Drosophila melanogaster: one gene and its partners. The protein of the gene in region 1 interacts with the protein of each later gene in a pairwise test. Each region holds a gene or a part of one and is shown in the gene's direction. Other genes may lie near its edges.

Region 1 (5,608 bases):
CATTGTCACTCTCGTCATTTCCACCCACGGAGGGCAGGCTGTTGGCATTATCGCCGGCTAAAGAAGCCAGTAGGGTGTCCACGCCAGCCTGACCGCGTGTCTCTTTAATATCATCACTAGTCTCTGAATGCAGCTCCGCCACCGTGCCAAACGGGAAGGAAGAGCTCTTTTCATCAACCCCAGCAGCTTCGGCTGGCAGCATTTCCACGTCATCCTCTATCTGGTGCTGAGTCTCCTCGAATTGGGGCTCCAAAGCAGGTGCCTCCGCAGTGTTTGTCCCTCTAAAGGGCTCCTCCTCTTCCTGAACCATGACCACTTGCTCTTCGGCCTCCTCTTCGTGGTCACTTAGCTGAAAGGATTAAAAGTCGTTAATGAAGGTTCCCGGCATTTCTCAGAGCATTTGTGGATGCTGTGCCTTCAGTTGGCCCTTGCAGGTAATCACTCGCTCCTCCAGGGAGAAGAATCATGTGCGGATGGAACAACGCCACACCCACACTGGAAATTGCAATCGTTTACATCATTGGCTGATGATCTGGAAGAGGCGGTAACTACGTGGGATGAACTGACCTGTACGTTCCGCTTGGATGTGCGCCGGGTGCTTCTGGTTGGCAGCGATGCAGCCGGGGATGCGGCCTTCCGACCAGAACGTGTGCGGCGACCTGGAAAACGTCAATTAACTTTCTTGGTTAATCCATGCGGTTTACATAAACTGTACGCGCGGTGTTGTGGGTTGTTCGCTGCCTCGTGATGTTCACTTTTTTCCAAATGCTTTAATGGGCTGCTCCAGCTAACTGTCAGTGTCAGCTACCGAAATGGGCTAGTAAGGACTGAATTTTTAATCAACGGTCACTAGGTCCGGTCGAAGGAATGCACGTATTTGTAATTTTTCATCAATTTACCTGGACTTTCCATAACAACGTTTTCGCCCTCTGACGCCATATTAACATTGCAACGTGGTATCGATATACATGTCCCGCCAATATCGATATCTCTTTGTTTGGTCAAGACTGACGACTGACTCATAGCTATATTTTGAATATTTTTCAGAGGTTTTTCGAATTTCGATATTTATCATTTTTTAGCATTGATGAATGAATTATATACAATCTATCAAAAAATATAATTTAATAACGAAAATAGCCTAAGTGCTCAGTGTTTTTCCAGTTCGGCGAACTAGTTCATTTTTTGGCGTGCGCATGCAGAACCTATCTCAACATACAAATTCTAGCAGAAATTACATGTTCCAGCTAGAAATATAATTTAAATATTTTATGGTAAGAGGACTTTAAATATCACCATAAATAATTCTTAATGAAAGAAGATAAAATTTGTTTAATGTTACACATATTATAAATTAGTGGGTTATTAAGTTAACATAAAAAACATAAACAAATAACACAATCATTGGGCCTACTTCCTTTAATATTTAGGGTTTGAATGTTCAATGCATAGGATTTTAAAAGCCCAAAAAATTGTTATAGTTTCTATACAACATAATCGTGAATTATATCAAGTAAATACAAACATGTAAATGGAATTGGTAAGTAAAATGTTTCCTTGTCGGACAAGATTTCTTTTTGAGTCAAGAAATCTCTTTAAATGTTATTTAGAATGGTGAATCCAGTCGTGAATTAAATATAGCTAATAACCCGCCTGGCGAGCATCACTCTTAGCGGGACTGCCACTCGTGCGCGTCTTCTAACACTGTTCTCAAAATGGCGACTCGAGAATTGTAAGCGTGACAAAAACAACAAAGCCAAGGCGCATTTCACAATAATTAAATGTTTTTCGATCAATTGCGGCGCGTTTAATACAACGAAAGCGATCGCGATGAGTGAATTGGGGACCCAGTGACCGGGCAACGGCGACCAGTGAACGCAAAGCGTCAGCGGCGCGGCGAACAAAGACAAAATACGGCGAGCGAAAACGCCGACCGCATAACCTGTACGTGTAAGCAAGGCAAGGCGAATGGAAGGCGGCAAGGGCGAGGGCAAGAGAATGAAAGAGGAGGCGCCAAGCAAGAAGTTGCCGCCTAAAATCTACGGCGGCGATGCGGGCACCCCCACGAAGGCGGCCCACGACGAGATACTCAGCTCTCTGCTGCGGATCAACAACTTCGACTCGATATCGAGCATCAAGGACGAGTCGCTGGACATCGATCTGTCGGCGTGCGTGACCATCAGCTCCGCCAGCCTGGTCAATGGTAACAGTCTCTCCTCCACCGACTTTTGGCGCGTTTTGGACGAGAGTGCCCAGAACAACACCGAGCTGAATCTATCCTCGGACGTCTGCCGCGATGACTTGGCTGCCACCAGCTCGTCAACCGTGCCCAGCACTCTGACCAGTGATAACCACTCCAGCTCGGAGTTTAGTGTGACTTTCCTGCGGCCCGAGCCCCCGAATGCTTTCACTAATTCCCCGTTTAAGAAGACTTCGTCCAGCGGCACCTCCACACCCGTAAAGCTATCGCCCGAGCAGCTCCACCAGCAGCATCAGCTCCAAATGCCCCAGTCTCAGCTGCTGCAACGCAAGCCAAAGCTGCCGGCGGCGACGGCGGTGCGTCTGAAGGTCTTTAAGGAGGAGCCGCCCGAGGAGAAGCATCCGCCGGAGCAAGTGGTCACCAAGGTAGAGGTGTGCGAGTCTGAGCTGCTGCCGCCATCGTTTACCATATTCCAGCAGGCCAAATCGGCTGAATCGGTGGCGGATGCGGCTAGCATGCCGCCTCCGGCTGCTTCGGAAACGAAGCCGTTGGAGGTGGACCCGGCACCTCTACACAAGTGTCTCGACTGCAACGGACTGCTGCTGGAGACGCCCGATGAGGTGGCCAAGCATGAGGCGGCCGCTCACAGGCTGAGGCTCACCTATCGTTGCAGCGAGTGCCAGCGGGAATTCGAGTTGTTGGCTGGTTTGAAGAAGCACCTAAAGACGCACCGCACCGAGGGCCGCAAGGACACCTGGAAGAAGTGTCCTGACTGCGGCAAGTGGTAAGTGTTACTGCAAACTAAAAATAGTTATTCCTATTGACCATTTTACTCTAACTTTAGCCTCAAATTGGGAAGCATGTGGATGCATCGGAAGATTCACAGCGATAACAAGAAGTACCAGTGCGACATCTGCGGCCAAAAGTTTGTGCAAAAAATAAACCTCACGCACCACGCACGGATTCACTCATCGGAGAAGCCGTACGAGTGTCCCGAGTGTCAGAAGCGATTCCAGGAGCGCTCACATCTGCAGCGCCACCAGAAGTACCATGCGCAAACGCGTTCCTATCGTTGCGAAAAGTGCGGCAAGATGTACAAAACGGAGCGCTGTCTCAAGGTCCACAACTTGGTGCATCTTGAGCAGCGACCATTCGCGTGCACAGTGTGCGACAAGAGCTTCATCAGCAATTCGAAGCTTAAGCAGCACTCCAACATACACACAGGAATGCGCCCGTTCAAATGCAATTATTGTCCGCGAGACTTCACCAACTTCCCCAATTGGTTGAAGCACACGAGACGCCGACACAAGGTGGACCACAAAACGGGCGAACACCTCGAGAACATTCCCTCCTACTGCTCTAAAAAGTCCACTACAAACAAGGCCCAAAAGGCAGCCGCGGCAGCAGCAGCAGCGGCGGCAGCATCTTCAGCTGTGAATCCCAACGAACTCTCCGCTTCTAGTGAACTTAAAGCCAAGGCTAATCTTACGTCTACTGCTGCACCGGCTCCTGCAAAACAAGCGCGGAAAAAGAAGCAGCCGCAGCAGGCCACTCTTGCTGCATTGGGAATAACTCTACCTGCCGGTACTGCTCTGCAGCAAGTGCATCCTGTGCCGCTGGCGCAACAGCATCAGCAGGAACTTACCACTGTGCTGGTGCCGCTGGCCCCGCCGGCTCCTAAGCAGACCAAAGCCAAGCGAGAACGAAAGCAGCTAGCACCGAAGCAACTGCAGCAAAAACCGCAGCTGCTGCAACAGGGCCAACCCCAGCAGTCCAGCTTAGAGCCCATTCCTGCTGTGCCGCAAATCAAGAAGGAGCCAGTGCAGACTCAGGGTCCGTTCCTTGACTTACACGGTCTTAGTCTGACTTCAGCCGAAGAGCTGATCATGGAGCAGGCCCTGGAGATGGAGGAGTGCGGTCTGTACGATGCTCCTAATGCAAACACTGAAATGGGGACGTCGGACAACGCCATTTCCGATTCGGCCGCTGCCCTGCACTTCCAGATAAAGAATGAATTACCGGACGAGCTGTTGCCAGACGATGACTTCTGTAAGTTTCTAATGAAAATGTCCTGTTTTATGAATTGATTTACCTAGTTATTCGTATAAAATAGTATTCCTTTTAAAAACTTTATATTAATTTAAAATTTTATATTTGTAGTGCCTTGTAAGCCCAGCGACCGACTACCTTGCCCCTCACTGGAGTCCTCGCCGTTTTCGTCACCCGCCTCCATGGAGCTGACCGCTGTCTCATGCGCCTCCAGTGTCGCCATATCGACGAATGCTCTACCAGTGCGATCTGGGAACTACTATCTACCCGCCTTTACGCTGAATGCACACGGAAAGCTTAGTAGTACGGGCAATGGTGTTCAGTCTGTGACCACGAGCTTGGCCCAGACACCCTCTGTGTCCATGGTGAATGTGCCTCTTCTGGTGAGATCCAATCAGATGCTGCCCTCAGTTGACACGCTACTCTTCACCAACCAGACAGGCGGAAGTCGATTCTTTGCGGGGAAATCGGCGACTGCGGCCACGCCGCATCTGACATGATCGGGCGGCGGAATCTGCTGCCTGCCAACATCAACGCCTCAACGATCTCCTGTGTCTTAGTTAAGTTAGCAGTGTCGACCATGTTGCACCAGCGCAATTGGGCGGTCGCGGACCGATGGCAATCGATTAAAAGAATACGGAATTGTTTCCCGTAGGTAATTAAGAGTATGACGCTACATTTGTTTAAGTAATTGACGTAAGCTGATTTCTGCATAGCCCGTAAGTGTAATTGAGTGTACATATAAACGATTATATATAGATACATAATGATAGATCTTTAATTTGTACGCTTCACACCAATAATAAATTTCGTACATATTTTAGTAAACATCCCATCATTTCTTGCAAATTGGAACCGTTCCCTTCTTTGCAAAGGGCGTAATTTAAATAGGTCGCGCTGTAATTCGATGCAAATGGGCTTAGGTTTACCATCTATCTAAGAAGATCATTCACTGTCCAAGTAGAAGAGTTTTAAAAGTAGCTGGAGAAGATGTGGGATAAGCCAGGTATAAAAGACTTAAGTTATCTGTTCCGAAGAGATACTCACAAGGGCTGAATACCTACTCAATCGCAATCACGAATTGGTTTGGGTGGCTCAAAATGGTGAGCAAAGCCTGGATTGTAAGTATTGTTAAAACGAATATGAACTCCCCGTACCGAGCACTGTATGTTTTGATTGTAGTAATTAACCTCCACGTTTCTAATATATATACGTACTCAATCTGATCGTAGTTCTAATCTAAATGAATCCTATCAGGGCAACCCCAAAAGCTTTAATACTTGAAGCCACCTTGTTGTACGTTGTTTTATTTAATTTATTAACGTTACTTCCATCAGTTGTTGAAATGTGTATGAAACC
Region 2 (7,300 bases), on another chromosome or scaffold:
TCCGTCCCGATCGGGGATGTACTGCGTGTAATTGCGGCCCATCTGCTGTCGTTGCTTCTCGGTAACCAGTGCTCCCTGGTATTCCGGCCCCAGGAGGCGTGCGAACCCATCCAAATGGAAGTACTCACGCCCGGGCAATCCGCTTGGGTACGCATGCTTCAGGAAACGCGGCTCCAGTGCCACGCCCAAAAGCTCAAGATCGTAAACACCACGCATTGTGAGAAACTGAAGGCAGTTGGAGAAACAACGAGGATGGCGCAGTATCTCCTCTATACGCTGGCGCAGCAAATCGGGCAATCTCTCCGCCAACCGGCGTTCCACTCCCGACTTAGTTGTAATATTGAAAAGGGCCATTACCAGACAAATTCGCTCCATATCCTTGAGGCGGGCAGTCTCTAACTCACGCTCGAATCTCAGCAGTATGCGCTCCACCAGTGCATCATTGCACGTTTGCAGTTCACAGCCCAGAAGAGCCATGTGCAGGCACGTGAGGAGGGAAACGCGATCCACTTGCGACTCTAGAGCGCTTAACATCTTCTTTAGCGGCTCCACTTGTGGCAGCTTGCTGCTGTACCGCAGCACCTTGAGCAGCGCTACCAGGACAATGTCTTCCACGGTGTCCAGCTCGCTGCCTAATCGCTGATAGAGTTGCGTTAGCAGCTCCGGATTTCTGATAGGCGTCTGTGTCTTAAAGAAGCCCATGGCCATTACGCCCAATTCGGACAGCGTCATTTGATCCACGCAGCGGGCCAGATTCAACTCGAAATCGAACATCTCGAAGACGGGTCGGCGCAGTAGATTGCACAGGAACATGGAGTGAACGAGCTGTTCTGGCGGCAGCTTTCGCAGCTTGCGGCCGAGCTTTTTCAGCGCCAGCCACACGTACTCGCCTATCCTGACCAGACCAAGACGATACCAGGCATCGCTCACGAGTAGCAATTGTTCACTGGACCATCGCTCGATGCGGCGACAGCACTCGATGTCCAGGGTATTCCATATCTCCATGTAGTTCTTGGCTTTGGGCGATTCCGGTACGGGCAGCTCGGCCAAGGCACTAAGCGATCCAAGAAGTTGTTCATCCGTAAGGCGATGCAGCTGCTCACAGAAGCAGCGGGTAAAGGCTTCGTAGCGGCTATCGCTGATCTTCAGTTCCATGCGATTACAGTGCCTCACCAGGCCTAAAAAGTCCGCATAGAGATCGGCAGCACTGGCATCTGGCTGTGGCCGCATAAAGCCTTCAGATGCGGGCAAATCCTGCCAGGCGGAGTCCCGAGGACGCAGTATTGCATACGGTTTGAGAGAATCCATCAGGATTCCATGGGCGAACTGATTCTCTCGGTCCGCAAATATTCGCGCTGGTGAAACGATCGTCGTGCATACTTGGCGGCGCAGACGTCCCACACTTCGCCAGAGGTAGTTTGTTCTTGCCCACATGTTTTAGAGCGATATTTGGTTGTAAATTAATTCAATTCAATTGAATTTGAATGGAAAACGCGTTATGAAAACATTCGTTGAAAAACCTGCCGGCTAAACAGCTGACTGGTAAGCAGCGTTGCCAGAACGAAGAAATTGGAGTGCTCGCAAGTGGGAGAACTTAACGAAATATTCTGCTCTCAGCGCTTGGCTGCTATCGATAACTCCACTGATATCCAAATGGGTAGCTACTAGAATGTAGCTTTACAAATTGTAACGTGTTTTTTCAACTTATTTTTGTTTAACTTAACACAAACAAAAATATTTAGCTATACAATTCTATTTCACACTCAAATATTAATCGAATGTTTCGATAACGGTATCCGTGGTCGATAACGCTCTTTAACCATTTTGCGTTTGCAACCGCCGACTATCTGGCGTCGCAAGAAACCTTATTTACGTAGATATATTTACGTAGATACGCTTGCACTTAATAATCCTGTAGTTGCAAGTTGTTCCCAAACTATTTCCGAGTGATTTTATGCTACAAAAGAGTGAAGAGTGAAGCAGTGGTTCCATCGGATTGCCCACCGGTTTCTCCGTTCCGAGAATTCTCGACGGCTTGTGTGGGGGAAAGGCGCGCGTAGGTCAAGATTGGAGCTATCAGGTGTCTAGGACATGGAGGAGGAGCCTGTTGCCATTGAAAATGATTGCCAGATAATTGTTTGTAAGTCCGACAGTTGGTCACCTGGTCAGCCGTTCAACTAACTTCCGTTTTTTTTTTTCCTCAAAGCTGACACAATTGGTCAGAAGACGAATGGCGTGGATGACGATAAGGCCCCAAATCCGTTCAGCAGATGCACTTATCCGGGATCTCGGGATGGCGGCATTCTGCAAACCTATAGGGCAGAGAGGCTGCTCATCGCTTTGGTACGCCGCCAGCCGCTATTGTATGACGCCCGGCATCCGAAATTCCGCGACGTCGCTCAAAGGGAGAAACAATGGAAAAAAATCGCCAGCCGCCTGGCAACGAATGCGACCAACTGCAAGAGATCCTGGTCGGCGCTGCGATATAAATATCAGCGCCATGTTCGTCGTCTAAGAAACTTTCATCGCAGTGCCATCCAAAAAGATCGGGCGGCCCTGCGTTGGCGTCCTTGCATGGAATACGAGGAAGAGATGCGCTTCATGTATACCCATGTGGCCAGATTCCCACTGATTGTCGACAAGATTCCGACAGAGATTCTTGAAAAAGAGCATGTGGATGAGAGCGAAACCCGGCCCGATGTGGAGGTCATAGAGAATCCGCCAATGGACATCATAGATTTGGATGTCGAGGAGGACCCCACCTATAACTACCGTTGCAACAGGTTACAGCGTCGCCTCATAGAGGCAGTCAGTGCCTATCCCCTTCTGTACGATAGCACGTGCACGGGCTATCAGAACACACGACATCGCTTTCTAATCTGGAGTGCCATTTCAAACGAAGTCCATGACAAAGCCACCAAGCTGATGAAGTGCTGGCTAAAGCTGCAGACTCGCTACGAATGGGAGTTAATCCATCGCCCACGTCATATCGGCACTTCGGAGCTGTGTCGGTTGATGGACTTCATGGAACCGCACGTACAGCGCATGCGCGGCACCGTATGCAAGTCTTCCAAGTACCTGCAAAACGGTTGGCACGAGCCCATTGAGAATTTCCACACTGTGATGGCGCTGATCACCACGATGCGCAACATGCCAGAACTAGTTCAGCTGACGGAGGACTCCCTGCACAACAAGGTGAAACCGCCGCGCTACGACGAATTCTGGCAGAAGGTCGGCATGGAAGTGATGTGTAGTCACGAGCACTGCGAGGTCACCTGGCTGGTGCTGCGCGCCTTTTACCACGAATTGCAGGCCGTGCGCTCATCCGGCTATCAGCTGCAGGACAAGTGGTTCTTTGAGGGCTCCATGGGTCTGGCCTTAACGCCAGTTACCTCTCGTTCCACGGCCCGTCCCGCACTAAAGCGGACAGCCAACGGCGCCATACCAGTGGCGGGGGAGCCTCCGGCCAAAACACCGGTGCCGGTACGTATGCCATTGGCTATTGTCTATCCGTCCACCTCAAAAGGCAGCAGCACGAGCATGACCAACAGTGCAAGCACTGCCACAAGCATTGGCCCCACCTTCACCAATGTTAGGAGGTCCTCTGGCCCAGTCATTAACAACACATCCACCGCCGCCGCCGCAACGAACAGCGTCAGTTCGAGTGTATCGCCCGATCAAGCTCTTCCCAAGTTTGTGATTCCCAAAATCACGTCCGCCATCAGTGTGGGCTCGGGATATATGATACCCCTAAAGTTTGTGCCCAACGTACGAATTTTGCCCAAGCCGGCGGCGACTATGGGAACGGGCGTGTCCCCCATCGCCACCACCAATCAGATGGCGGGCCCAAACGCAAAGCCGCCTGAAGTGCGTCCACAGATAACGCAGGGTCCTGGCTTACAGGTTAAGCTCCATACGAAGCCTCAAATGGCCAGTAGACCGCAAATGGCACCTGTAGTCCCCCGCACTGTAATTCGAACAACGAATCCAACCAATCCAGCTCAAACTCAAGACAGGGTATCCGGAGGGCCAATGTCGACACTGGGTGAACTGCTTAGGCCACAAAATCCATCGCAAATACGTTCACCAGCTCCGCAACAAACACTGCCAAATTTTGTACCAATAACAACATCGAATATTACAGCTAAAAGCAATCTGCCAACACCCACTGCGGCTCCAATGGTACGAATACACCAGCCGGGACTGAAAAGCGCTTGGGATGGCAAAAGCAATAGCGCTCCGTTCAGTAAGCCAATAAGATCACTATTAACCACATCTTCGCCTGCAGCTGCTCCTATTGTAGCAACTGCGGAACCAGCGAGAGCAAAAATAATACCACCAAAGCCCAAATTGCCAGCAACAACATTAGTAAACCCCAAAAAATATCAACCAATCGTACCGGTAGCAGTACTACCTACAGCAGCAACCAGGATGGCCAAACCTGCAACAGAACCAGCAACTGAGCTGCCTGTAACTACGCCACCAATCGCCACTGGACAAACAACTCGAGTCATACGAAAAACACCATTATTTCCTACATCTGCAACACAAGCTGCATCTGACTCATATGCCACAATACAGGGCACATTAGCAAGCCAGGCTAAAGCTGTGGGAGCAGCAATATCAGCACCAGTGGTCAGACCAGCCAAATTGCCGACAGTAGCCAAGGCAACAACAGCATCGCAGTCAGATATAAAAGCAACTGCAGCCGCATCCGCAACCCTAGGCAGTCAGCCGGAGAACTTGCCGCTTGGCAACATAACCGTGTGTCTGCACGAGAGTGATACCACTGGGAATGAACTGCAAGTTTGGTGCGGAAATCAGGGTACTCGCTTCAATCTCAATATGATTAGGACGACGACGTTGATCCGCGAGGTGATGGCTGTGCCGCAGCTGCACAAGGAAGATCCACAGTTGGCGGCCAAGTGTGTTGAGTTCTGGCATTTTATCGCCAAGAAGTTTCACATGCCAGGTAGGAGTAACTATATATATATTAGAAACATTGGCTCATACGTTCTTTTGTTCTGCAGAGGAAGCTTTGCGCGCATGCTGGAAATTCTTGGCGGCCAACATGAGTGTGTTTCCAAAAATTGCGCCGATGTCGGAACTGATGCGTCCGTTTAAGTACAGCGAAAAAGTGTGGGAAAAATCGAATCGCTTGTTTGGCAAATTTGACGAGATAGCGCTAAAATACCAGTGGTTGAATCACAAGAACGTGTTGCCGGAAGTAATACGCTTCTTCGCGAAGTACGAGTACCTCTACTGCGATTTACGCAGGCCGCGACCTGGCGAAGATGCTCAAGCTCCGCCCCAGTTGACGAATCAGGAGAAGCAGGAGGTGTGGCGGGAGGCCCGCCTTAAATTCCCAAATCGTATGTTTAATAAATGTTATAAGCCAATCATTTATTAGTAATTTTCTGTTCTTTTGCAGTCAATCATCGGGATATTTGGTCAATGTTTAAGTTCGCCTTCCGCACATACCTGGATGATTTAGAGCGCGGCATCGATAATCCCTGGCCGCAGAATTGGTGGCAGGCACTGGAGCAACTCAGGTTTCTGGTCAATGTGCGCTACCATCCGCTCGAGCCCTACTACTATATAGTGCACAACAGGATGTCAGAGGAGGTGAAGCGCTGCAAAATGCACGAGGCTCTAACGTCCTCCGATCATATCGATAAGACCAAATTTACACCGAGCAAACTTTTAACGGGCTTTTCCAAAGAACCCAAGCCATGGGAGACGGAGGAGGCCAAGCGCTTGCTTACCGGCAAGTTGAATAGCGTGAGAAGCACTGAAACTCTCACTCAAATTGCTCCAGCTCCGGCTCTAGCTTTGGCACCCGATGCCCAACCTATTCCTGTACCTGATGGCGTTTCCGTGTCCAAAAAGACAAGCGAAAGCAAGCCAGCGTCAAACGCCAACGTCAAGTCTCATAAAGACAAGAATATCTCCACCGCCCAAAAGCGGCCGACCCCAGCGAGAAGTGTCACCTGTAACAATCTATCCCCCATTGAGGCGTTTGAGTTGTGTAAGAAATTGCGTAGCCAACCAAACAGCTTCGAGCGGGCGAGCACTCTGGACAAGCGAGCCGCCTGGGTTCGCGTATCAAAGGAGTTGCATGCCACAGGTAATCATTTGCAAATATGTCAATTTAGACATTTGATTAAAAGTACATATTTTGCAGTGACCGAATGCCGCCTTGGTCTGCAGTACGCTCTGCGCGAGATGCGCAATCTGAAGATCGCCGATCCAAGCAATCAATGTACAATGGGCCACAAGTACTTGCACCACATGTCGGAAATCTATAAGCAGGTGAAGCCGAACGCCCAGCTGACAGTCCGCACGCCACAGCAGCTCAACCAGTTAAACGAATCGCTTGCGAAGAACACTCAGGAAGTTAGCCCGCAGGAGTTCCTGCCTGAGATCAATTTGTCCACTTGCAGTCCGGATCTCGTGGTGAAGAATTGGGCCTACGCCGTCGGTAACTTGTCCACGGCCAGTCAGGATACACTGCTCGGCAAGATGACGCAGCTGTTCTCTAAATACGCCAAGGTCAATCCGCCACCGCCTTAGCTCTCGAAACTTTTGGCACACGTAGTTTAGTCATACATATTCTCTGTAAGAACTTTCGCCGTACCATTGACACCCTTCATTGCCACAGAATACATCTTATTTATTATTAAGTGCATGAAATTGCAATAACTTTTTTTTTTTTTTTAAGAGCCCTCTAGAATAACTTGAATAAATGGCCACAGTCAACTTTCATATGATGTTTTGCACTGGGACTGTTAAATTTAAGATTTTAAGAGTTCCTGAGTACCATAGGTATAATACCAAACTGAAACTTGCGCAATAATAAACAGTATCTAATGTTGTTAGACGCTTAAAGTCGCAGAATGATAGCGATGAGGGCAAGGCCCCATGATTATATGTCGGTCAGCCGGCCCCGCCCACTTGTATGGCCTCTCCGAGGACATGAAAGTAAGCCCGAATAAATTGGGCGTGCAATTGGGAAAAGATTTGATTGCCAAGTTCCTGGAGGAGTGGCTAGATAATAAGGCGCACGTAAAACACAGGGGATGATTGTCTAGGACAAAGGAATGGCCAAACTATTTGACGATATACTATTTAAAGGATTTTAGTAATCCTCCCACATTTCTTTCGAAATGACGAACAGTAAACAACGGTTACTTTTTGGCTCTACCACCTTCTTCGCCAAGTTATAAGGAAAATATCAGATTTTCCTTTTTGCAGTTTTTTGTTAAAAAAAAATCACAATTTCTTCGAAAGCAATTAAAAT
Region 3 (4,587 bases), about 16 Mb from region 1:
CGCACCTTTAGCACCTTACACCCATGGAATGTGCTGCGTGTGCGTCGCTTTATTAACGTCTTGAATGGGGTCTCCACTGGCATTTCAGTCCGTGTCCCTGTTTCTGCTCCTGCTGCTGCTCCTGTACCGTGTGCCCTGTCCCCTGTCGTTGGCAGTGACGCTATGCTCCGTCATTAAAATACAATTTTCTGTGTCAGGTTCAAGCTGTAAGCCCAAAAACATGGCACACGAAGGGGCAAGGTGCGTGGTCGGGGAGAAATGCAACACGGACAGCACACGATATTAGTGCATGTCTTTTGGGCTGCCTTTGTAGCTGCATTTGTTGGCCCGACACCCGACAGGATTGTGGATATAGTCATACGGCCCTATAGCCATCCCACTCTCCGGCACAACAACACCTTACTCCATCCGAAGGACTGCGACTGCACGGCCATTAAACATGAACCTCGTTACGGCGTTGTTGATGTTCTTGTTATAAGCGGTAACTTCAGGGTAGTCAGGCTATGGCCCAAACTTCATGGCTCGAAGTCTGGAAGTCATGATGGCACTTTGAAACTCACGAAGTCCAAGTTGCTTGGCTTACACGGAATTACCAGACACTAAACAAGACATACTTTAATAAAAAGAGACATATTAAATATTTCAATTCAATAGGATATTTAAATGCGTTTAGAAGGTAATATTGTGGTTTAAACAGCTATTTATGAATGTCTATTTTCCCAAAAGCATCGTAAGTTTATATAAACTTGGCTATTTATCATTTAGATTACTGAAACAGTTTTATATTTTACTTGTGACCTAAGGTGCACATTCTGTTATTTTAAAATATCCTAGTTTAATAAAGAGTAACACACCAGTCTAGTTAATTAAGCCTAATGTTTGTTCAGTTGTCGGGGTGCATCACACTTTGCAGGCCACACTTAATGACTTTTGCGCGTCGCTTGCACCTGGACAACACCTGAACGCATATTCGCCACGACCCCTGTTTGGACCAACCACTCCCCCTTATCATTACATGACCTTCAGTGCTGGATATTCCGCACATCCTGGTAGCAGCATACAAAACGGGAACGTGCCTGGTGTTTGGGCTGTGGTCAGCAGTAGAAAATGTCCTGCCATGTCCATCCAAGGACCCTGTGTACTCATATTCATGCCCATGTCCATGCCCAAATATCCCTAGACTTTTGGGTAGCAATTAATTTGAAGTTTAACACGTGTGCGTATGTCTTTGTAATTATTACATAATGGCAAAGACAATGTCACAGGCAGCATCTGCCAACCGAGTGGGTGGATTTTGGTCGCTCAGGTTGTGCAAGAAACTGAGCCGAATTTCAAGGACTCGCAAATGCTAACAGGTGATGACAAACACACACACACACACATCTCTGCTGACAGGGACATAAACAAAATAATAACAAAACGCAGTCAGCAGCTTGAAGAGCAAATCAGCCAGCTGCTCACCGAATAGAAAAGAGAAACCGCGCAGGCGCCCAGCGACTATTTCGAATTTCGAACTCCGGAGGATGGCTTAAAAGCATGTCCTTGCCGAGTGAGCAGCTCAGTCTAGTGCTAAATACATCGAGGCCAGGACACGCGACCCGAGAAAGCGTCGATTCAATCAAACAAAAACCAAGTGCCAAGTGCCGTGTGAAGAGGCCACAAACAACTAACTAACTAACTGCCTCCAGAAACTGTGCGATTCTAACCAAAGCCAAAAATAAATATAAAAAAGTTACCAGGTAGAGCAGATCGAGCTTGTTTTGAACTGTGTGGTTGGCGTGTGTTTTTGTATTGTGCGTGTTGCGTTGGTATTTGTGATGTTAGCCAACTTCCGGTAGAAAAAGGCGAAATGTCAACATATTTTTTGTATTTTCTAGCTAGCAGACAGCAAGGCGTCGAAATGGGAATTGGGATTGGAACATCCTCATAGCTAACACATTATTTATGATACTGACTGTATTCAGTGGGAGGTTGTTATTTTGAGAATATATATTTGTATGCCTTTATTTTTTAATATCAGATATATTCATATATCCATGCTTTAAGGAATAAAATTCGTATGAATGCGAACATAATAAATTTTTGAGATGAAAATTTAGCGTTCGTAAAACAGCTGATGAGCAGAATTATGTCTTAATGCATAGAATAGAATATTTTATATGAATATACTTCTAGCACTAAAGCTGTGGAATGAATGAATTCAGAAAGAGGTTTATTTTGTGTCCAGTTAAAACAGAGTAAACATTGTAAAGCATGGTTCTGGGATAGAGTGTGTTGTTTGAATATAAAAACTTTTAAGAACTTTGCCAGCATACCGGATAAAGAATTTCGCGTGTTCCACTCATTTCCGCCAGTTGCATGTATGTGTGTACGTGTCTTTGAGTGTGCACTATGCGTGTGTGTGTGTGTGTGTGTGTAAGAATCTGCTCATTTCCGCTCGCCTGCAAAAGCAGGTGAAAGCTAGCTCGTAAAGCTCACGGTAAAATATCCATTTGCAGTGCATCAGTGCCCGGGAAAAAGACTTAAAGCAAACAGCAGGCGAAGTGAATAAACCATAAACAAAACCCCCGAAAATAAACCGAAAGCAGGGAAAAAACGAAATTTAAACGTCTGTGCATATTAATCAGAACGAGAAACGTGAACAGGATCACGTCCTAGACAACTTATCACAGAGGATTTACGCAGACAGACAAACGCAGGACGCGAATGCGAGTGTAGAGCAAAAGGCAGCGCTAATCAACGACCAAACCAGACGACATCCTTACCGACTGGCCACGCCCACAACTCCCCCTCGAATAGGAGAAAAAAAAAACCACCAGAAGCCTGGGAGGAGAAGAGCAGAAGCCGCCTCATTTGGCCACTGCGGATTATGTTAATTAGGTAATTTTTGCTTTGATTACTCGTACCTTTGGGGGTTGTGCAATTTTGTTTGCTTTTCTCCCGCTTTTTGAGCACGCTCCTCAATTTGACACCCAACCACCCAAAGTCCGGCTTACATATTTATGAAATTTCCATGCAAATCGAGCTAATTCATTCACATTACGCTGCTGCTGCTGCTGCTCATCTGGCAAGCGTTGCTCAGTTTTTAATTCGCTGCCTTAATTGCAAGACAATTTTTTTCGTTCGCCCAACTGATTTGTAGTTAAAAACTCATAATTAACAGGCAGTGGCGTAAATTGAAAAAGTTTCTCAGGATAACTATACCTCACTGAAGAACAAATTGAAATTATTATGGGCAAATGTAATGACAACACGGGGAGTACATTAGAAATGTTAATCAACAACAAATGAAAATGTTAATTTTGATTGCTTTGGCCGGCAAATAGAATTATCACTTGCAAAACCGATTCATGGCCAACCAATTCCAATATATAAATTAAAAAATTAGCCAAATTCTGCTCTTTTTCGAATGCTGTTAATGCAATTGGAATTAATTACGAGTCCAATAATTTATTTAACAGCTGACATTTAATGGTTAAATGGTTACTGCTTGTGTCAAGCACTACGCATTTGGATTTGGTAAATAAAACAATTTTGCAACCACAACACTATCAAATATTACTCGGAACTAAATGCAAAGCCAGCAGTTGAATTATTGTGGCCTGTATGCCCAGTCAATTGCAAAATTCGATAAATTGAGGCCTGAATTCACGGAGGAGAATGCAAATTGTGGGCAAAAGTCCAAGGCTCCTGGGAGGACAGAGGTCAGGGGTTTCGGCCAGGACAATGCCGAACAAACTTGCGACTGGCAATGGAAACAAAAACAGAAATTCCCAGTTGCCGGCAGGCATTCACAACTTTATACTCAACCTACTCTGCCGTTTCAGCATCGATAATTAAATTGTGAAATTGTGAGCTCTGAATCGAGGATGGAAACTATGGAAAATGTGGCTAGAAATCATGCTCAAGTTTCTGCCACAATCTACCTACCTCTTAAATCATTTCAGTTGAGTTTTGGGGGCGCGTGGGAGCTTTATGATTTTCATTTTCAATTTAATTTGATTGATTTTTGCCTTGTTTGGGCTCTGGCACATGAAATTCATACTCGTGAATTATGCATGCAAAGCTGCTCGCAAAAGTATTGTGAAATTCCTGTGGGCAATTTATTTATTTACGAGTATATTGCGCACAAGCTCGCCAAGAATATAGAACACAATGGCGGTTAAATTATGTACGTATAGAGACACCACTGCATACCATGAGTCTATATATCGCCAACATATTTAGTATATTTATGCTCTGGCAAATTGTCAAGCGCAAATTAGGCAAACGCTAATTCGACTTTTATCTGACACGGCAATAAAAACTTTCGGTATCCGCACGAAAGAATCTTCTACCCCGAAAAGCCATAAAGTCCAAGTTCCTGGCAATTAATGCAGCCACAATGTCTAATTAGATGGCAGCAAAAGTGCCGCCAGTTCAGCTCAGATAGCACACGCACCCCAAACTCGGGTTGGCTTGAGTACAGGTAGCACTCCGTATGGGGGATGCTGTTCAAAAAGGGCGAGGGGTGCCGCCGCAATTAAGTGCCTCAGGGTGTGGCGCGAGTGGCTCTTGTGCGGTTAAGATGGAAGCACCATGGCATCG
Region 4 (7,661 bases), on another chromosome or scaffold:
GCAACAAGTGCCTTTCGAGGAAATCCTCGGGCGAAACTTGCTATAACATTCAAAAATCGTATTTTTCCACAACAACTGAGGCACCCTAGTGACGAACAACCCCCATATGTGTGTGTAAGTTGGTAAAGGCATGTAACCCAAAACGGACAGCGCCACTCACATAAGGATAATATACACACACTCGGCAGCTCCCACATAAATATATGTATATATACAAATTTATATATATATATATATATATATACATATATAGTTGGAGCATACACACATGATCCGTAGCCAGGCACATAACGCAATATTTGTTAAAGCACGCAATCCTTCCTCCCTTCCCCAGCCAACATCCAACCGCCCACTTTTCCTAGACCTTATCCTTATCCATATCCTCAGCCTCTTCCCACGCCCATGTCCTTCCGCGCGGGCCCACATGATATATACATGATATATATTTATATATACATATATATACATATGTATATATATATATTATGCTAATTATTATTAATAAAGTGTAACCATTAAGTTCTAGTCGAAATTTCAAATTGTTTTTCTCCTGTCTAAATACGTTTATCAATTGTTTTTTGCCTTAAGACATAAGATTGAGATACATTTTTGTGTATTGTAATATTCGTGTACACTAACAATGACAACACACAACAAGAAAAATCAACAAACAAAACACAACACCAAGAAAGTGAAAACAGAAACAGAAAAATATAAGCGAAAAAAAACGAGAATAACAAAATGAATATACTTGAATAAAGTTGCATTCACAATTTTTAAATGCTGCGTTCTGAGCTTTGGTGGGAATTTAATAGGGAATAGTGATAATCTAAAAAAAAGTAAAAGCGTTATCAACCGGAAATGATCAGGAATGGTTGATAATAACACTACAATTTTGAAAATTTCCTTCAAATCTGACAGAATGTCCTCGATGAACCTGAAGGGTGGGTCCCATTCTCAGGATCGCCATCCGTATGCTTGTTGTACATTTAAGTATCACAGCAATTAAACAAATTAAAAACTCCCATCTAAAATACATTTAAATATAAAATATAAATAATTTACAAACTCCATTCAGCACATGCTACTGAACTAATCCTATTATATATACGATTATCTACGATTATCAACGAAATGCTCTTATTGGAAATAATATAGTTTCTAATTTTATATAAATAGTTTAATTCACTTTTATAAATCGCATTTATTCATTTCAAAAAGATTTGAAAGCTTTGGAATGTTAATGCCCTGTTAACATAACATAACATAGTTGATTGTTATGTAAAGTAAGCTTTAAAACAGTGTGGCCAAGAGGCGAAAATTTGTTACAATTGAAATAGAATTATCCATGTCTTGACGTTACGCTTGATTTTTAAAAAATCGATTTCAAACATCAAGCTATCGACAAGCTGATCTAACTATAACATTAAGTATGGAAAAATAGTACATATATTCTGTAATATGGTACTGCAAAACTGCAGCCAAATAATAATATAAATATTATCTGCCTGCAAGACTAATTTCCAAATTGTAAAATAAACCCGGGCGATATTTCAAGCGGAACATCGGTTAATCAGTTGCATTTTCCAATGAATCGACAGCCTGCTCAACTATCGATGTATCGATACTTTTTACCATCCCTACTGTGAACAGAACGATTGTTGAAATGAAAACAACTGAAATAAGATGAATTAAATTAAATTAAAGATACAGTACCACGGATTGCGAACAAGTACGCATACTTCAAGTTAATGACATTACGGTGCGATCGGAAGTGGCAGATATACGCTGGTCCCAGCTATGTGGAAAATTCCCGGTAGTTAAGTTAACGCTGCGCCGCCACAGAACATCCTTTTAACCCACCAAGAGAAAAGGCGCCTGGATGCACCGCAGCACGGCGAATAAATGGAATTACAAATCAAAGGGTTAAGGTTTGTGCAAAAAGCAAAATAAGGAGCGGAAAAAAACTCGCACACACGTACGTTGCGTATTGCTTCGTTGCGCGTGTGTGTGTGTGTGTTTAGCAGTGCGTGCTTGTGTGTGCGGACGGCGGCTGCATGGGTGTGTGTGTATAATCATGTGAAAAATCGATTGGCAGCGCAGAAGCAGCGCGGCGGCGGCGCCAATTGTCACTGACTCGCAAGAAGAAGCACGCTTTTATGAAAACGCACGAAAAATTGTAATGGCCAAATACGAACGGTAATAAAGTGCATAATGCTAAAAATGGAGAAGAAGAATACCGCTCATAGCCAAAAAGGGAACGAAAGAAATGCCCGAGGACCACAATAACAATAGCGGAGTGATCGCCGCAAAAATAGAGTGCGAGAGAGAAACGGCGCCAGCACACACATATTCTTTATATAACTACTAGTAAGCAAAAAGCGAAACAAAACAAACACAAAGAGGAAACGCCAAGGAGCAGCGGACGAAAAAAAGAGCGGGAGACGGCCCAGAGCGTGCGAAAGAGAGGGGGCGAGCAAGAGCGCGGCCCCTAGATGTTATCGAAACAATCGGAAGGACTGCGCTCATCCTTTCGATAACCAAATACCCATCGTCTATATACACATATATAGATATATATCTATAAATATATATATAAATATATATATATACATAACAAACAGTACACTTTTGGAGCCCCGATAGACGACAATTTCGATTGTTGTTGCCCCGGCTTTTGACCAAGAATGGAACCAGATCCCAATGGGATAAAAATAGAGCCCTCACTTGATCAGCAGCAGTACGCCACCCATGTGCTGGCCATCAATGGCTCCAATGCCCGCCTGCTCATCGAGCATCCCTCAGCTTTGTTGGTACCACTCTCCTCGCATCACCAGCTGCAATTGCAACAGCAGCAACAACAGCAGCAGCACGTACAGCAGCAACATCAACAACAGCAGCAGCAGCATCAGCAACAACAGCAACAGTTCCAGCAGCAACATCTTCACCAGCAGCAACAGGATCAACTGCAGTTCCAGCAACAGCATCTCCAGCTTTATGCACCACTGAAGCAACAGCAATTGCAGCAGCAGCAATCGCAGCAGCCACCCACTCCATTGGGACCCACCAGCAGTGCCAGTTCCGCATCCATAACAGGTGCCTCCACCACTGGCCACCAGCAGAGGTGGAACGAGAGCCCCGAGGCACGCCAGCGCCGTCTGGCCAGAAATGCTGAAAGGATGCGGGAACGCCGGCAGCGCGAGAGCGAGGAGGAGTATCGCAAGCGACTACTCCGGAATGCAGAAGCCAATCGCCAGAGACGCCAGAATGAATCCGACATAGAGCGGGCCATGCGGCTAGTGAGGAATGCGGCCAGGCAACGGCTACGCCGGGCCATGGAGTCGCCGGACCAGAGGGCCAAACGGCTGGCCAAATTGGCCGAAAGGATGCGCATGTATCGCGCCAGCGAGACGAACGATCAGCGAAAGCTCCGGCTGGCAGAAATGGCGGCAAGGGCGCGCCAAAGGATCGCCAATGAGTCACCGGAGGAGCGGAAGGAAAGACTGAGAAAGCTGAACGATTATGCCAAAAAGGTCAGAGAAAAGAAGAAGGTACTGAAGCATGTTGTGGTGCACGGTGGTTCGTCGTCGGTGGTCGTCTCAACGCCGACATCCTCCTCGTCGTCAACGGACCAGCAGCACCACCACCAGCAGCAGCAGCAGCAACAGCAGCAACAACAGCAGCAGCAACAACAGCAGCAGGTGCTGGCTGTTGCAGCAGCAGCCGCAGCAGCGGCGGCAGCCAATTGTACTAACGAACACACTATCAATCTAAACCAGGCGACCACCACAGCGACGACGACGACAACGGACGAGGCAGGCACCCCGCAGCCCGCGGAGGATCAGCAGCATCTGGTGACAGCAGCCGCCTATCAGCAACACCAGGCCCTGGCCGGAGTGGAGTATATGGGACAGGGCATGTTTCTGGCGCCCGGCTCCCTACGTCCACCCATGCAACTGAAGCAGGAGCCACAGACGCCGCAGCAGCAGCAGATTACACAGCAGCAGCTGCAGCAGCAGCATCAGCGATACACCATCACCGGACAGCAGCAGCAACAGGTTACGGCTGCTCTGCTCGAGGGCACCGAGCCGGGCAGCATCTTTGTGCAGCAGATCTATGGCGATGAGGGTGGCAAGGGCACCGCAAAGCTGCTCCAGGCCCATGTGCCGCACTTCAGCATCGCCGGTGGCCAGCTGGAACTCTACCCGCACAAATATGCTGCCAAGAAGCAGGAACTTCAGGTGCGTATGCAGTAGGCGTAGTAGATAGCAAGAATGATCGGCGATAGCAACTAAATCACGCACACACACACAAAGTAACGCAGCAAAACTAAAGTTTGGCATCCTCCAGGAACCTCATCTTGCCCATGAATCCATCAATGTAATTTGTTATCTAGAAACACTATTTATTTGAAATCTAATCGGTATTAGAAAAAAAGGGCACTATCTACTTCCAGTAAACGTAAAATCAAAACATGATTAGCCTAATTTAGCTTGATTCCTGAATAATAACAATAAATGATTTTTACAGTTGCAGAGGAATTTGGAATCGAATACAAATTCGTAGCGCTGGTAAAATATCAAACAATTGCCAATACTCGTAAATTTCAAATATTTTCCTTGCAGTTGGCGAAATCAACTGCCTCAAAGGAAAATGCTTGAAACCGGAAAGTAGGAATTTTGAAAATATATAGAATTCAATGGAAATTGGCAGAAGAAGCGGCCAATGGACCTCTCTTTTTTTTTGCGCGTTGCCTTACCCGCATTTTAACTCCTCTTTTGATCAAAAGCGAAAATCGTATAAGTTTATTTCAGTTAACATTATTGTTCGTTGTTCATATTACTTGTGTTAGTTCTTTTTTTTGGTCAGAAGCAAATGAATTAATCAATCGTATAGAGTGTAGATATATGTAGCAATGTAAATCTTGAACCTAAGAACAAAATACTTTTACCAACCAGAAACAAACAAAAAGTGGTTTTAATTCCCTTGTACAGGTGTGCGTTCGTGTGTGTGTGTGTGTGTGTCCTCCATCTATCCCTTTCGCTCTATCACTCGCACTCGGTTCTTTTCGAAAACCAATCTATAAGACCACCTTCAATCACATCAATCAATCTTATCACTCAAATTACGAAATTAGGTTGCAATGATTTGTAAAATTCAATTACCGAAGATTGCTGTGATTGCGAAGATTAAGATTTATACCAGAATTCCAAACCGATAGTCCCATAACCCGCAGAATCAAACCGACTCACCCGTTGGCTTGCCAATCCCTTCTATCCCTTCTTGCAGTCGGACAACGATGCTACGGTATCAGCGGGCGGCAATGATAACAGCGGGTCTGTTAGCCTCGGCCACAACGAGACCAAGGTGATCGTGACGACGGCCAGCGGGGAACAGAAGCTGCTTAAGGCGACGCCCGGCCAGGCGCAGCAGCTGTATAATCAATTCCCCTACCTGGCCACCTTCCCTAACACCACCAGCAGCGGCAACAGCACCACCAGTACCACCAATGTCGGACACGTGGGCGTGGTAACGGCGGGTACAACAACGGGCGCCGGCGGTACAACCACCACCGCCTACTATCCAATGTACCACAATGGCTTCCAGATTGGCATCGGGCCGAATGCAGTGCCGCCGCCGTTTACGCCCGTCAACTTTGCCAACGCCAGTGGTGGCAATAGTCCCGGACAGTATAACATACTGGCGGCGAATCCAACGCTAACGGTCACTGGATTGGGACAGCAGGAGCAACAACAGACAGGCGCGTCGTCGGCGGCGGCGCCACAAATTGTGACCACACCTGTTGGCAGGGGCAGGCCGCGAAAGAATCCGTTGCCCAGCGAGGAGCAGCTAAAGGTGAACAGTCTGCTGGAGCAGGAGCTCAATCAGATGCTGTCCGCACCGCAGCTGGCCACCAGTACGCCGCGTCGCGGCAGGCCACTGTCGCAGGCATCGCAGCAACATCATCAGGAGCTCAGCCAGATTCATGTACATTCCACGGCCGATGGCGACAGTCGAACGCCAGTGTTGACGCCGCGACGCAGCGGTGCTAACAAATACGAGACGGAGGAGGAGAAGCGAATACGTTTGGACAAGATGGCCGCACACCAGCGAGCGGTGCGTGCCAATGAGACGCCCGAGCAGCGGGCCACGCGTCTACAGAAGCTGAGCGAACGGGCACGACTGAAGCGGGCCCAGATCCGAGCCACCGAGAATACGGACGAGCGCAAGGAGCGACTGTCCAAGCAGGCGGAATATGCGCGAATGCGACGCATGCGCAGCCACACGCCGCGCAGCAGCAGCGCCACCAGCACCGAGTTCCGTGCCAAAACCGAGGAAGAAGATGAGTGCCAGGACGATGACACCAGTGCCGAGCATCATATGTACGAAAGTGAAGCCGTTTCGGTCACTGGCACGGGCAGTGATGGTGGCTTCGTTTCGGTGGTGAAGGCCGACAACGACGATTCACCATTGGGCGGTGGCGATGGCTCCAACGATCACGAACAGTTGCCGGCGCTGCAATTGCAGCAGCATGAGCTGCAGCAGATTGCCGGCAGCCTTCAGCAGCAACATTTGGTGCCGCATCCGCATCACGAGGCGATTGTGTTGAACCAGCAGCACCGCCTGGTGACCATCAGTCAGCACCAGCAGCAGCAGCTCCATCAGCAGCAGCATCCTGGCTTCAGTAAACTGCAGACGGTCAAGGATTATGCAAATGCAGCCGGCGGTGGAGGCGGAGGAGGAGCTGCTGGTTCTGGCGGCGGCAGTGGAACGGGAGCACCCGAAAACAATGACATGCTAAAGATACTCGAGCCAATCATTGTGATGAAGACCAAATGAGGTTCGCGGAGGCGTCACAGTCGCAGCACCAATCGCTAGAAGGGATATGTGTGGATGACGTGCTAGCCAGGCCTCCATTTCCGCCGGAATATCAGGCGTTGGACGCACAAACGATGGAGATATCTGCGAACAGTAGGGATTGTCTATAGTTATCAATAAGCGTATATTTTTTTTTAATCTGTTTTTTAAAGTGTTAATGTACTTCAATGGTAGATTTTGTAAAAAGTCAGAGTAAGCGGAGATCAAGGATCAAGTGCAATACGGATGCCTGGCAGGCACAAAAGTCCACCGGAAACCCAGAAAGCTAAATGAAATGAAACACTGTGACGCCCCGAAAGCCACTGAAAATCGAAGAAATGCAGCTAAAATAAAAAGATAACTACGATCGATGGTGGAGATCCAACTAAACCTAATCCAGAATATGTAGCGCGTAAACAGAGCACTAAGTAGTTGTATGTATTAACTATTAATTTTTTAAATTAGCAAAAAAAAAGCAAAAAAAAAACCCAAAATAACAAATAAATCTAATAAGATCGAAACAAAACGGTCAATGGCAGCGGTGTATGGGATGTATGTGTGGTCAGCCAGTGGCTATCGGTTATCGATAGCAAATGCAGAGGCGAACGTGTTTTTGCATGTTGCACGTCTGGCGCGCACATGACGCGCATGACGCGCACCACATCCGCTGGAAATTTTTTCCAAAGGCAGCCTTTCTTTCTTTCTATTCCTACTCATTACGGTAGTGGTTGTCAGCGTGCAGGTGATGGAAAAGCTCTGGAGGATCTGTATAAAAATCATAATTAACTTTTTAAAAATGTGTT

The links.
Region 2: the proteins of wdn (region 1) and Hmr interact in a two-hybrid assay, tested with the Drosophila melanogaster proteins (one large-scale study listed by BioGRID).
Region 3: the proteins of wdn (region 1) and 2mit interact in a two-hybrid assay, tested with the Drosophila melanogaster proteins (one large-scale study listed by BioGRID).
Region 4: the proteins of wdn (region 1) and CG14442 interact in a two-hybrid assay, tested with the Drosophila melanogaster proteins (one large-scale study listed by BioGRID).

Annotation. Positions count from the first base shown.
Region 1 is NT_033777.3:28,807,446-28,813,053, reverse strand, and holds wdn (wings down), read left to right. Parts: upstream 1-1,716; 5' UTR 1,717-1,968; coding exon 1,969-2,984; intron 2,985-3,044; coding exon 3,045-4,249; intron 4,250-4,360; coding exon 4,361-4,749; 3' UTR 4,750-5,071; downstream 5,072-5,608. Other genes in the region: Prp39 (pre-mRNA processing factor 39), read right to left, coding at 1-349, 568-659, 900-939. UniProt on the Drosophila melanogaster protein: May belong to a complex set of multifingered proteins which play an important role in gene activation or regulation at early embryonic stages through a maximal accumulation of their transcripts (or protein product) in the mature oocyte.
Region 2 is NC_004354.4:10,590,384-10,597,683, reverse strand, and holds Hmr (hybrid male rescue), read left to right. Parts: upstream 1-1,828; 5' UTR 1,829-2,091; coding exon 2,092-2,140; intron 2,141-2,206; coding exon 2,207-4,972; intron 4,973-5,030; coding exon 5,031-5,372; intron 5,373-5,431; coding exon 5,432-6,127; intron 6,128-6,184; coding exon 6,185-6,573; 3' UTR 6,574-6,764; downstream 6,765-7,300. Other genes in the region: CG2124 (uncharacterized protein), read right to left, coding at 1-1,434.
Region 3 is NT_033777.3:13,152,661-13,157,247, reverse strand, and holds the start of 2mit (2mit), read left to right. Parts: upstream 1-1,560; 5' UTR 1,561-1,739; intron 1,740-2,498; 5' UTR 2,499-2,880; intron 2,881-4,587.
Region 4 is NC_004354.4:6,688,983-6,696,643, reverse strand, and holds CG14442 (uncharacterized protein), read left to right. Parts: upstream 1-1,642; 5' UTR 1,643-2,687; coding exon 2,688-4,241; intron 4,242-4,530; coding exon of another isoform or gene 4,531-4,566; exon of another isoform or gene 4,567-4,571; intron 4,572-4,625; exon of another isoform or gene 4,626-4,962; intron 4,963-5,289; coding exon 5,290-6,840; 3' UTR 6,841-7,348; downstream 7,349-7,661.